2 linked regions of the Ovis aries genome follow. The protein of the gene in region 2 interacts with the protein of the main gene of each other region in a biochemical or structural test. Links are inferred from orthologs where the notes say so. Each region holds a gene or a part of one and is shown on either strand. Other genes may lie near its edges.

The links.
Region 1: the proteins of SATB1 (region 2) and PIAS1 form a complex in vitro, tested with the Homo sapiens proteins (2 studies listed by BioGRID, with this or other methods). The link is inferred for Ovis aries from reciprocal best matches to the Homo sapiens genes SATB1 and PIAS1.

What each region holds. Positions count from the first base shown.
Region 1 is NC_056060.1:14,946,370-14,952,335, reverse strand, and holds part of PIAS1 (E3 SUMO-protein ligase PIAS1), read right to left. Parts: intron 3,547-5,966; coding exon 3,456-3,546; intron 2,799-3,455; coding exon 2,664-2,798; intron 1-2,663. UniProt on the Homo sapiens protein: Functions as an E3-type small ubiquitin-like modifier (SUMO) ligase, stabilizing the interaction between UBE2I and the substrate, and as a SUMO-tethering factor. Catalyzes sumoylation of various proteins, such as CEBPB, MRE11, MTA1, PTK2 and PML.
Region 2 is NC_056054.1:276,532,970-276,538,935, reverse strand, and holds part of SATB1 (DNA-binding protein SATB1), read left to right. Parts: intron 1-1,975; coding exon 1,976-2,152; intron 2,153-2,914; coding exon 2,915-3,041; intron 3,042-3,801; coding exon 3,802-3,925; intron 3,926-5,966. UniProt on the Homo sapiens protein: Crucial silencing factor contributing to the initiation of X inactivation mediated by Xist RNA that occurs during embryogenesis and in lymphoma.

The DNA.
Region 1 (5,966 bases), on a different chromosome or scaffold from region 2:
CCATGCCCTCTTCAGGTTCCTTCTCTTCTACCCAGTATTAAATGTTATCTAGTTCCTCAAGAATAAGTCTTCAATGCTCTCTTCTTCTTACTTGACACATTTTCCCTGAACAAAGTCAGCCTGCTTTTATGGCTCCAATAATCACCAATATGCAGATAATACTTTTTTTTTCCTCTAGCCCAAACTCTTTTCTGAGCCCATATGCCCACCTATCCAGAATATCTTAAAGGCATCTCAAACTCTAGCCATTCTCGCTCCTTTTCAGTTTCTTGAAACAACTGGCTCTGGGGTCAGGCCAGAAGAGTGGCCTAGGTGTTTGCCCACCCCACTGGAGGTGCTGAGTGCAGGGGGTGTGCTCAGCACCCTGCTTTTGCTTGCAGCACCCTGCTTTTGCTTGCAAAACCCTGTTTTTGCTCCTGGTTCTTCAGAAGTGGCCGTGGGGTTTTTTTGGTCTTTTCATATTGTTTGTCCAGAATTTGCCCCAACTGCACATGTCCGACCCCTCAACACACCCCTACCCTCACCCTGTGTAAGGTACAAACTTATCTCCCCTTAGGGAGAAAGGAAACAAGGGAACCTGTTGTCTGCTCTTGCTCCTCCTTGCTGCGGCAGGGGACCCAATAAAGTCTTGCCTGAAAAAAAAAAAAAAAAAAAGAACTAGGCTCACACCTGCCAGTGGGCTACTCTGAAGACCATTTGCTCTGAATCTTTCACCAAACTGATTCCTTCTGCCCTTCTCTCAACTCTTAGCTCAGTCATTACATCCTCAGGGAAGCCCTGCCTGACCTCTCTCTAGTTCAAAGTGCCCGAGTATACTCTAATATCACCATGCACCTCTTCTTTATATTTCCTGTGACACCGTTCACATTTTTGTGTGTAAACTGGATTTTGGCTCCAAGTCAGGACTTTTTTTTTCTCACTATGTTACTAACAGTTTTCAGTATAGTACATGGAATATAGCATAAATTCTGCAAACTTCAAATGAATTTGTGAATATACAAACTCATATAAAATTGTAATAATCAAAAATATTCTAAAATTGTGCCAGAAAAAGAATGCTAGGCTAAAAAACAATACAGCAAAGTGCAGAAACACACACAGGATAAATAAAAATCAAATATATAACAATGGTTACTTCAGAATTAGCATTTGTCTAGTTAATGGCGTTAGAACTGGCTATTTAAAAAATTAAATTTTTATTTCACATGTAAATTTACAATGGACTAAATATGTAAAGATAAAATAAGAAATCTCAGAAGTCAAGAGAAAATATAAACAAATATTTATGTAAGATTGGGAAGGGCAGATAAACTAAATCCAACAGAGGCTGAGCGGAAAGATGATAAAGAAACAAAACTATGCAACTAGAGATTATCATACTAAGGGAAGTAAGTCAAAAAGAGAAAGAATTGCCATATGGTATCATTTATATGTGGAATCTAAAATATGACACAAACCAACTTATCTATGAAACAAACAGAATCAAGGACATAGAAAATAAACTGGTGGTTGCCAAGGGGAACGGAGATGGGAGAGGGCAGGAGCAGGAGTTAGGGATTTACAGATGCAAACCAGTATATACAGAATGGACAGACAATAAGATCCTACTGAATAGCACAGTGAACTATATTCGATAACCTGTGATAAGCCACAATGGAAAAGAATAAGAATATAAATATACATATCTATATATAACTGAGTCATATATCCTTGATGTATAGCTGTAATTAACACAACACTGTAATTCAAGTATACTTCAATAAAGAATAAATTAAAAGAAAAAAAGAAACAAACTGGTTAAAATTTGGCTCCATAATAATTTAAATCTTCTACACATTAAATAATCACATAAATGAAAAGGCAATAAACTACAAACAAACATTTGCAGCATGTGAAAGAAGGTTAAATCAGTAATGTAAGAACTCATAAACAATAAAAATAAGAAAAACAGCAACAGAGAAACAGATATTGATATATTTTTAAAATGTGAATAATCACAAATAAATTTGTTCAATCTCACTAATAATAAAAGGAGTACTAATTAAAGCAATCTAATACCACTATTTACCTATAAAAATTAGTAGAGATTTCAAAGAAAATAAAACTCAAGTGTTATCAGTCAACAGGCATATGAAAAAACACTGAAAGTCAGAGAATAAATTTTTAAAACATCTTTTGGTAAGGCAATCTGCCAGTGAACACAAAATTTCTTTAAATTCTGATGGTCTTTGATTCAGCAATTCCACTTAAGGGAATTTACTCTAAAGAAAGTACTATGCGTGTATGCAAAGTTAGAGCTATTAGGATAGTCTTCAAAATGTTCTTTGAAGTAAACAATCAAATAAATGTTCAACAATAGGGAACAGGCTAAACTATAGATACTTGTATTGAAATATGATGTAGCTGTTTCATACAGATGAACATGAAATGACATAGGAAGATGTTTATGAAAATACTTAGTGAAAGTTATCATTATAAAATATTGAATATTACAAGATCCCATTTTAAAAATGGGAACATGTTGAAAATTCACTGTGAGACAAAAAATAAATCCTTTGGTAACTCATTTTATACCCATTTTATTTATATATAAGCTCAAGTAGCCACAGAGCTTAACCCTTCCTTATAAAACAAAAGTCTGGAAGAAACAAAAATTTACTCACTCTTCCAATTTCTGCAGTCCAAGAAACAACAATGGTGTTTGGTACAGTTGTAGACAATCGGACAAGTGAGGTGATATTAATTGGTCGGCTGGGTCGCTTTGGTTCCACACCATTTTTAGTAGGTGGAAGATAACCCTAAGGATGAAATATAACATTTCTATTTATTACTTCCACAACCATTTAAACTTCCATTCCTTAAAAAAAAACAACACCCTACAAACTACATATTAGAAAATATGAGTATTTCCATTTAAAAGTGGAGAAGCAAACATTTGTAAGAGTTTTCTGTACGTTTCTCGAAACTACCCTACAGTCTCATTAAAGTAAACCTGAGAAAAATATTGGTGATAGAACGTAAAAATCTGTAAAAATTTAAGAATCATGTTGAATTCATAAACAACTTGGATAAACACATAAGGGCTATTTTAAACGTGAGCAACAATAGCCCCCACTCCTTCGTTAAATGCACAGCAGTCTTCATATCTCCCATCTACCACAAGGTTTCAGACACAAGAATACATCTGAGGTTTGATGAAACAATCTCTTCATCCCAAAATTAAATAAAATACTAAAAGCTACCACACCCAACTCCAAGTCCTAGACTATGTCTCCATAGCTAATGTCACAGCTGTTAATTGGACATAGTTGGTACAAGTGTTTCACTCAGTCACATGAATATACATCCAAAATAAAGACGTTTTCTTAATGAAAAACTATGATTAACAACAGCTGTGATGACTTATTTGCTAGCTATGTTGGGAATGCACTGGAAAAATAGCTTTTAGGACTTACTGGAAGGCTGCAAGGTTTTGTATTCACTTTCACACAAAGATTGGGTGGGAAGTGATCTTCTTGTGGACAACTGGTTTCTGATAAACAAAACCTAAACAATAAAGAACAAATTTAATTTCCTTTATTAAAAGATGATCTCATTGATATTTTTGTTCCATAGCTAATCTAAAAGATGGGCAAACTTAACAGCAACAACTATTAAAACTAGACATTTCATATTACGAATAAATGCATTTAAATAGGATCAAAATAAATAATTTTGTCAATGTAGAGTTTCAATAGTCACAACTACTAACCTGTAGTTGTCCTCATAGTATTTCCAGTCATTTGTTCAAGCATGCTGGCGGGGGTAGGGGTTGGGGGGTTGAGGTGGGGTGCTCTGGGGTTGAACACATTTAAGAAATTTTGGAGAGTAACATGGAACCTTATATTACCATATGTAAAACAGATAGCCAATGGGAATTTGCTGTATGACTCAGGGAACTCAAATCAGGGCTCTGTAACAACCTAGAGGGGTGGTGTAGGGAGGGGGTTCAGGAGGGAGGGGACATGTATATGCCTATGGATGATTCATGTTGATATTTGACAGAGAACAATGAAATTCGGTAAAAGCACTCATTCTTCAATGGAAAAAATTCAATTAAGTTTTCTCTGTACAGAACATCTCAAAGCTAATAAGGACTGTAAATTTTTAAGAGGGAAATGTATGTGTGTGTGCTCAGTCGTGTCTGACTCTTTGCAACCCTATGGATGGTAGCCCACCAGGCTCCTCTGTCCATGGGATTCTCCAGGCAAGAATACTGGAGTGGGTTGCCATTTTCTCCTCCAGGGGATCTTCTCAATCCAGAGGTTGAAGCTGTATCTCCTGTACTGGCAGGCAGATTCTTTATCACTGTGCCACCTGGGAAGCCTGATATAACATATGGTATTTCCCAAACTTATTTGTCTATAATACATTTTTTTGGTTCTCAGCAGAATATACTGAAAATGCTAGAAGTCAAGCTCCAGGATCAAGTTTTGTCCACCAAGTTCAAGTGTTCCATTAGTTCCTGAAAACTGAGGATGTTGAATAACGACATTATTTGTATTATATCCACGTGTTTAGAATACTATTTAGAAACTCACAAAAACATTTATTTCTAAATTACATGGTAATCTTTCAGGAAAAACCAAGACAGCTACATAATTTGTACACTCTCAATCTTTTCATTCTTTTTTTTTTTTTCAATTTGGCTGCACCAGGTCTTAGTTGTGGTATGTGGGATCTAGTTCCCTGACCGGGTACCGAACTGGGCCCTCTGCACTGGGAACGTAAAGGCTTAGCCCCAGGACCACCAGGGAAGTTCCTTACTCTATTCATTCTATAGATTGAGAAATAGATTAATCTGCTATTTAAGACAACAATTCTCAATTACTTCCTTGTTCCCAATATAGAGCTAAGGTTCATCCCACCTTTACAGAATGTTTACAGAACTTTTTGAGTTATATGTTAAGTATGCTATCTCTGAATTCTATGAAATATTCATTGTTTTTACACAAGTTTTACACAAGAAGCACAAGTATCTTCTCTCAATAATCTGCCTGCCATGGAATCTGTGTGAGGGAAGGTCCACAAATGGGACAATTTTCTATATAAAATTTTATGGGTACATATATGGTCATCTTTAAGCAGGGACAATCTATAGTTTCCATTACATTCTCAAAGAGGTTAGAGAGTCATAGAAAGGTTTAGAATTACCAACCTACAAAGATTTTCTCAAAATATACTTAGCACACAGATATCAACACCCACAAGATCATCTCTAACCCCAGCAGAACCTTCTATGACAGGCCAGTTCTTCACACAGCAAAAGTCAGAGGATGCTCCAGTTTCAAATCAATTATACCAACACTGTGGGAAATTAGAAACATGGACCTGGCTGCCTGAAGCCACCGAAAACCAAAATCCATGTGACAAGTTGACCCCTATTCAACTATGTGAAAAGTGAAAATCTAAATTATTCTTACAAACCAAAGGTTTTTTTAAAAAAGGAACAATAGCAGAAAGTTTCTATACAGATGTTCATGGGGGTGGAGAGGGGAAACAGATAAATGAAAACAGATTAGGAATCTAATAGAGAAAATACTGATCTTAATTCTGACCAAACTGTTTTTCATGTTTTAGATAAAGACTTATAATTAGGATAGTAAAAGGTATACACTCCAAACTTAATATCCTGGGATTGCTGTGGGGAATGGGCAGTGTAGGGATGAAAACAATTTAGCAAAACACAAAGAACCACATAATAATTCCCCAGTATAATACAAAATGGTTCTTTTTCCATTAAGTTCCGGAGATAATTTGAATTTAAAATAGCTAAGCCACTCCAGTATTCTTGTGCTTCTCTGGTTGCTCAGACAGTAAAGATTCTGCCTGCAATGCAGGACACCTGGGTTTCATCCCTGGACTGGGAAGATCCCCTGGAGAAGGTAATGGCTACCCACTCCAGTATCCTTGCCTGGAGAATTCTA
Region 2 (5,966 bases):
TCTGAGGAGCAGCAAAGAGCAGCCCAGGTCTGTATCATTCTATAAGAGGAAAAATCAATGCCTATGTTTTTTGTTGTGTTAGTAACCCAACTCTTTGAAGACCTCAGGATAGAGGGAGGAGAAACCCAAGTACAATAATTTCACTTCCTGCTCAAGTGCCGATTTTTTTTTTCCCCAAGCATTGCATTTGTAGTGACATTTTAAAAACGCTCTTTAATTGTAGAAGGTTCTCTGCTTGCTTGAAGCAACAAAATGCCTCCAGCCTTGTGTTGGTGGTGGTGTTGTTTTATCTTCTTTTTCACGTGCAGCGTTTCTGCTTGACAGGTGCCAGATAGTGAGTGTGGCTGGGTTGAGAAAGCGCACCCCAAGGAAAGGGGTTGGAGGTTTTTTTGTTTGTTTGTTTAGGAGGTTCTGCCAGAGTACCTTCCAGCCAAGGGAGAAATCACCAGTTTGCAGACTGCTGTTTCTGCCGTGGTCTCTCCCAGTCTCCTTCTGATCCCTGACGGGTTCTCTCTCTGGTATAAAAACAGCCGAATGAATGACGAGGATATTGGCAAGCTCCACAGCTTGTTTTTCATGCCTAGCCTGTTGGGTCCCTCCAAATGAGTTTGTGAGCTTTTCTAAGTAAACCTAAAGGGGTTTATTTGTCAGAACTAGAATCTCTTGTGAACAGTTCACTGAAGCTGTGGTGTAGATGCCCATGTAGAAGACGGTGCCTGCTTTTCCTGCCGGCTTTGTTCAGCAGAAACAAGCAAATAGGGCGTTTTTAAAGGGCATCTCTGGTGTCAGGAGGAAACCCTGGGTTTTTAGCTCTGCTTTGCCGGCCCTGGATACCTTCAGAAGTTGGTTGGCTTCTGTGAATGCAGAGGACAGAGCTTAGAGAGGCATTGGCGTTCCAGGACTAACTGGGGGTCCCGGGTGCCCTGGCGCGGTAACCTTTGTCATCATTTATGCTCAGGATGGTGCCCTCCTGGCCGCGTGCCACAGTGCTCTCCGCTGCATCTGCTTTTAACCCTTTTCCGTTTATCACTGGAAGTCTGACAGTGCGCTGTGTAAACACCTCGAGGACGACAGCGTTCCGTGATTTCTGTTTCTAGAAGCCTCTTTGCTGACAGTGGTGTGGTGTGGCCTGTGTTTATTAACCATCTGGCTCCTGAGTTATTACCTGGGATTACAGTGAACAGAGAGCACATCTCGTCTCTGCAGATTCCTGTAGCTTGAGACACCCTGATGAGGACGGTTTCCTTTGCTCTCATCCTTACCCCATTTGCTAGAGCAGAGATGGTTCGTTTTAAAGACCTGTGGTTACCGTGATGTCCTTTTAGGCAGGTTAAATGAGTAGCCATCAAAGTGAGTATTAGTCATCTGCAGTGTGCACGTGTTGAAATCCTGTGTTTATGAACTTCAGTTGGGTTAAGTTGTGTTTCTTCTGTGGCCTCAACGTGAAGATCTTAAAGAACGAGGCGAATGCTCGTAATTTTATAATCAAAGCTAATTTGTTTGGACACAGACAGGGAAAGTTGAATCCTAACAAAAGCATGTAGGAAGCATGAAGATGGGTTCTTTCGAAGCTGAGCTGAGTGAGTTACATTTGCACACCAGGTACCACTCACAGCAGATCAGACCAGACTCTTACTCCTCTCCTGTCAGCCTTATGATTTGATCAGAAAGGTAATTCTGCATTAATTGGTTTGGGGAAATGCTCTGTTAAAATTAGAGCCCAGTTACCTCAGGGCCGAGTTCATATTCTATTTCAACATTTCTCTTGCAACTTAAAAAATAAGAATAAAAGAAGGTGTGTGTTTGTGTCTGTGTGCCCGGGTCTCTGTGCCAGTCTTGCATTCTCTCGTGGTGGTGAAGATTTATTTTCATGGTTTCATTTTTTTTCCCTCCCTGCCCGCCCCCGCCCCCCCCCCCAGACTGTGTTGCTGAAATTCGTTGGTTTGCGTCTCTTTTTCCTCCGTCTCCTTGATAGGAACCATGCTCCCGGTTTTCTGCGTGGTAGAACATTATGAAAATGCCATTGAATACGATTGCAAGGAGGAGCATGCAGAATTTGTGTTGGTGAGGAAGGACATGCTTTTCAACCAGCTGATAGAAATGGCCTTGCTGTCTCTGGGTTATTCACATAGCTCTGCTGCCCAGGCCAAAGGTAAATAATGCATCCACGGGGTTGGGGGAATTGCTTGGCATCCTTTGTTTACCTTGCAGAGAAAGCATCTGAATATTTTCATTCAAAGAACTGTAGCCTGTGTGTTACATGGGTTCCTTCTAGACTGTGGCTTTAAAAAATCGGCTTAATTCGGTTTGGTTTAGTTAACACGCATTTTGCTCATGTGGAATGTGGAGGTAGGTTTTTTTTTTTTAAATTACTTCAGCTGAATCATTAGTAAGCTTATTGACCTTAATAATCTGCTCCACTGAGGACCCACAAGGAAGTGAGGAGCGTATCTGAGCAGATGGACTGTTGAGAGTCAATTTGCATTTATGACTGAATATCTAGTTCTGTTTCTTTTATTCTGTTTCTGATGGTTTTATGGGCTGTAAAGTATTTTTCAATGCTGATTCCCATTGCAATCGAGAATCTTATCTAAATCGTAAAGCCATTTAGAACTGGTTCAGCTATGTCTTATTAGAACTTCCTGTAAGTTAGGAAAATGTGGCCTCTGCCTAGGTTTTATTGATGGGGTTTTATTTCCAAAATAATAAACAGCCCCACCGTCATTTACATAATTTCACAGTTTGGAAAACTGAGCTGAGCATATTTTCACTGACCTGCCTTTTGGAGGGAAGGGAATCATTCAGACAGAAGTAACAGTATTGCTTGTGGTGGGGGCAGTGAAAAGCAGGCTGGCAGTGGGTAGGTTATCTGAAGGGCCAGACCTGAGTGACACACGCTCTTTATCTGGAACAGGGCTGATCCAGGTCGGGAAGTGGAACCCAGTCCCCCTGTCTTACGTGACAGATGCCCCCGACGCTACGGTAGCAGATATGCTTCAGGATGTGTATCATGTGGTCACATTGAAAATTCAGCTACACAGGTGAGTCAGGAAAGCAGTTCCAGCGCAGAACGTTCTACTCACCTGATCGTTTGAAACAAAGTATCTCTGGCCAGCCTTCAGCTGTGACTCGCCCTGCATTTCAGAGAGGCTAACCCCAATCGATTTTGCCACCTCCCCCCTTTCTCCTTTATCTTCCTAATCTGAGCCCATCGTTTAGAAGCAGTGTTCCCCCCAAATGCATCTACTTGTGCAGGTTATCAAAAGACAAGACTTTTTCTGTGTAATCAATTAAATGATGCATTGCGAGAAGGCATTTTACATAAAGTTTACTTAAGAGAAAAATATTTTTGCATATCATGAACAGTGCCATCTGTGTACACTTTGTGAAAGAATGCCTTATTCACTATTGCCGAGCTCTTATTTATTTATATGATTTTTTTTAACCGTCTTAATTCGTACGAGCGGAGTCCTGAAGGGAAAACGGTTCCCACGTTCGTGTTTTCACGATGGCTCTTGAGAAAGCAGTACACCTTAAATTGTCTTCCCAAGCGCATCCGAGCAGGAAGGTAGAAGTAACATGGAAAAATAGCCACCACAGGCAGCTGATGTATAATTCATGCATCGATACAGCAGATGTGTTGTATAAAGTAATTAACTAATCGGAACAATCAGGAGACCGAGAGCAATCTCCAGATGCATCTGTTTGATGCGCAAAATGAAATCTGTCTGTCTTAAAGGAATGTTCTGCAGCGGGATGCAATCTTGTCATAATCCCCTTTCTACTCTGTGTCTCCAACAGTTGCCCCAAACTGGAAGACCTGCCCCCCGAGCAGTGGTCGCACACCACCGTGAGGAATGCGCTGAAAGACTTGCTGAAGGACATGAATCAGAGCTCCTTGGCGAAGGAGTGCCCCCTCTCACAGGTACTGGGCGTCGCTGGCACTAAATGACAAGCCATTGAGGGCAGCCTCGTTGGAGGAGTCGTGGGAAGCCATAGTCTAAAGCAGCTGGTATCGGAAGCAAGAATCTCCCCAAAATGCAAAGTGACTTGACCACCGGTGACTTTCAGAAGTGTGTGCGATTCATCCTGACAGTGTGGGAAAGAAAGGGGAGGGAAAGCCGCTCAGCAGAACTTTGCGCTAGCTCACGTGTAGATCCCTGCTCTGAGTGTTCTGAGATTGGACGCTTTGTTGTCCTGAGGGCCCGTATTTGAGGGAATAAGGGTGGTGTACCTTCCTGGAACCCCTAGATGCCAGGAAGCACCTTGGAAGTGTTACTTTGCAGAACGTCACCATGCTACCTGAATAAAGAAACAGAATAGCTTCTAGGTGCTTTCTTCATTACCACACAAAGGAAAAAGAAGAAGAAGAAATAGAATTTAGAAAAAAAATTACACAGAAAACAAATCTCTTCTCTCTAATTAAAGGTTAGATAGTTATTATTCATCAGGATTCTGTCACCAGTTTTATCCATTGGTTCAACCTCCCGCCCCCACTGTTTTTCTTTTCTTTAGTGGGGTCATACGTTTTCCTCTGAGATGCCTGTCATACTGTCAGGGGTTTCTGAAATGAGACGGAGATTTATGATTATCGTATTTGAATTTTTAGGATGAATTTTGTTGGAGGGGCGATAACTCTGGTGAGAGACTGCCTCAGTTTCTAGCTGTAAAGCTGAGCATCACTTCTGATGCCGTGCAGTTGATTTTAAAAGAAAAGGGCACTCTGAGCCTGCCCTTCGAGCTTGTGTGGTCCTGACGTTGCTGTGCCTTCATGCCGCCTCTCTCCGGGGGCCTCGCCTCTGAAGCTCACGCCACCGGAGAGTATACTTGAGATGCTGGTCTAACTAGATTTTTGCTGAATTTTTGCTGACGTTTTTCTCTCAATGCAAGGTTAGCATGGAAGCCTGAGTGCCACGCCTCTCAGGCGCTTGAGCGTGAACTGTGTGACGCTGTAGATATTTCTGCAGTAGAGAATTGCTCCAAGTTTGTTTCCGACGTGATGGCTGCGGAGACACATGGGTACCTTTGGAAGGAAGCTTGTGGGCGTTCGTGCTCTTCTTTCATGAAAGCTCCGTGCATTTCAGGTTTACTACATTAGGGTCCATCAACTTTACTTTGATATTTGTTAGCAATTATAGGAATGAAGCAAATGAATTAAGCTTATAATAAATGATGGCTTTTTATATTCTTTTAAAGTAATTTGTAGCCACAGGTGAAATATTCTCTGGTGTTAAGTCCATTTCTTGAAAATCAAAGACTTGTTGACCCTTTAGCGGATCTCCTCCGATTCTCCATCTCACTCTTTGAGTAGAGAGGATGTGAATTTCTAACCATCGAGTAAAAATGATTTAGATTAATTAAACACAGTTGCATCAATAGGAAGATATGATGAAGCAGGTGACCCTTATCTCTGGGGCTTTGGCTTTTGCAGACAACTCCAGATAACCTGTCAGTTTGGCCTCTAGGATTTGAAATTTGAAATGTCCTAGGAATGAAGGTTCTAACTCAGCATTAAAAATAAGTATAAAGGCCCAGTATAGGAATCTCACGTATCTTCACGTTACTAAATGTCCCATTGATTTGGGAAGTGAATTCAGGCAAAGGTTCAAGGCATTTACTGTGAGCTGGAGAAGAGGAAGCTAGCTTGAGTATTGATACAGGTGGTGAGAACTAACGGTTACATGGTAGCAACATTCAGCCAATAAACTCCACCTCACTCTAGCTTACAAATACTATTGTGAGTTTACTTAATGTTATCATGGGTAATTAATTGAATAAAACAATTATAGCATTAAACAGAATGCCAAAATAAAATTCAGGACTGGATCTTAGAGTCAGATGGGGATGAATTTCTGTAAAGAGGCCTCAAGTGGAACGCATGGGCCTATGTGGCTGGGGACCCCGGCTGCCATCCTTCAGTGGTGAGACTAGGCTGTAATGCCAACATCAGTTGTAATTACAGTCTT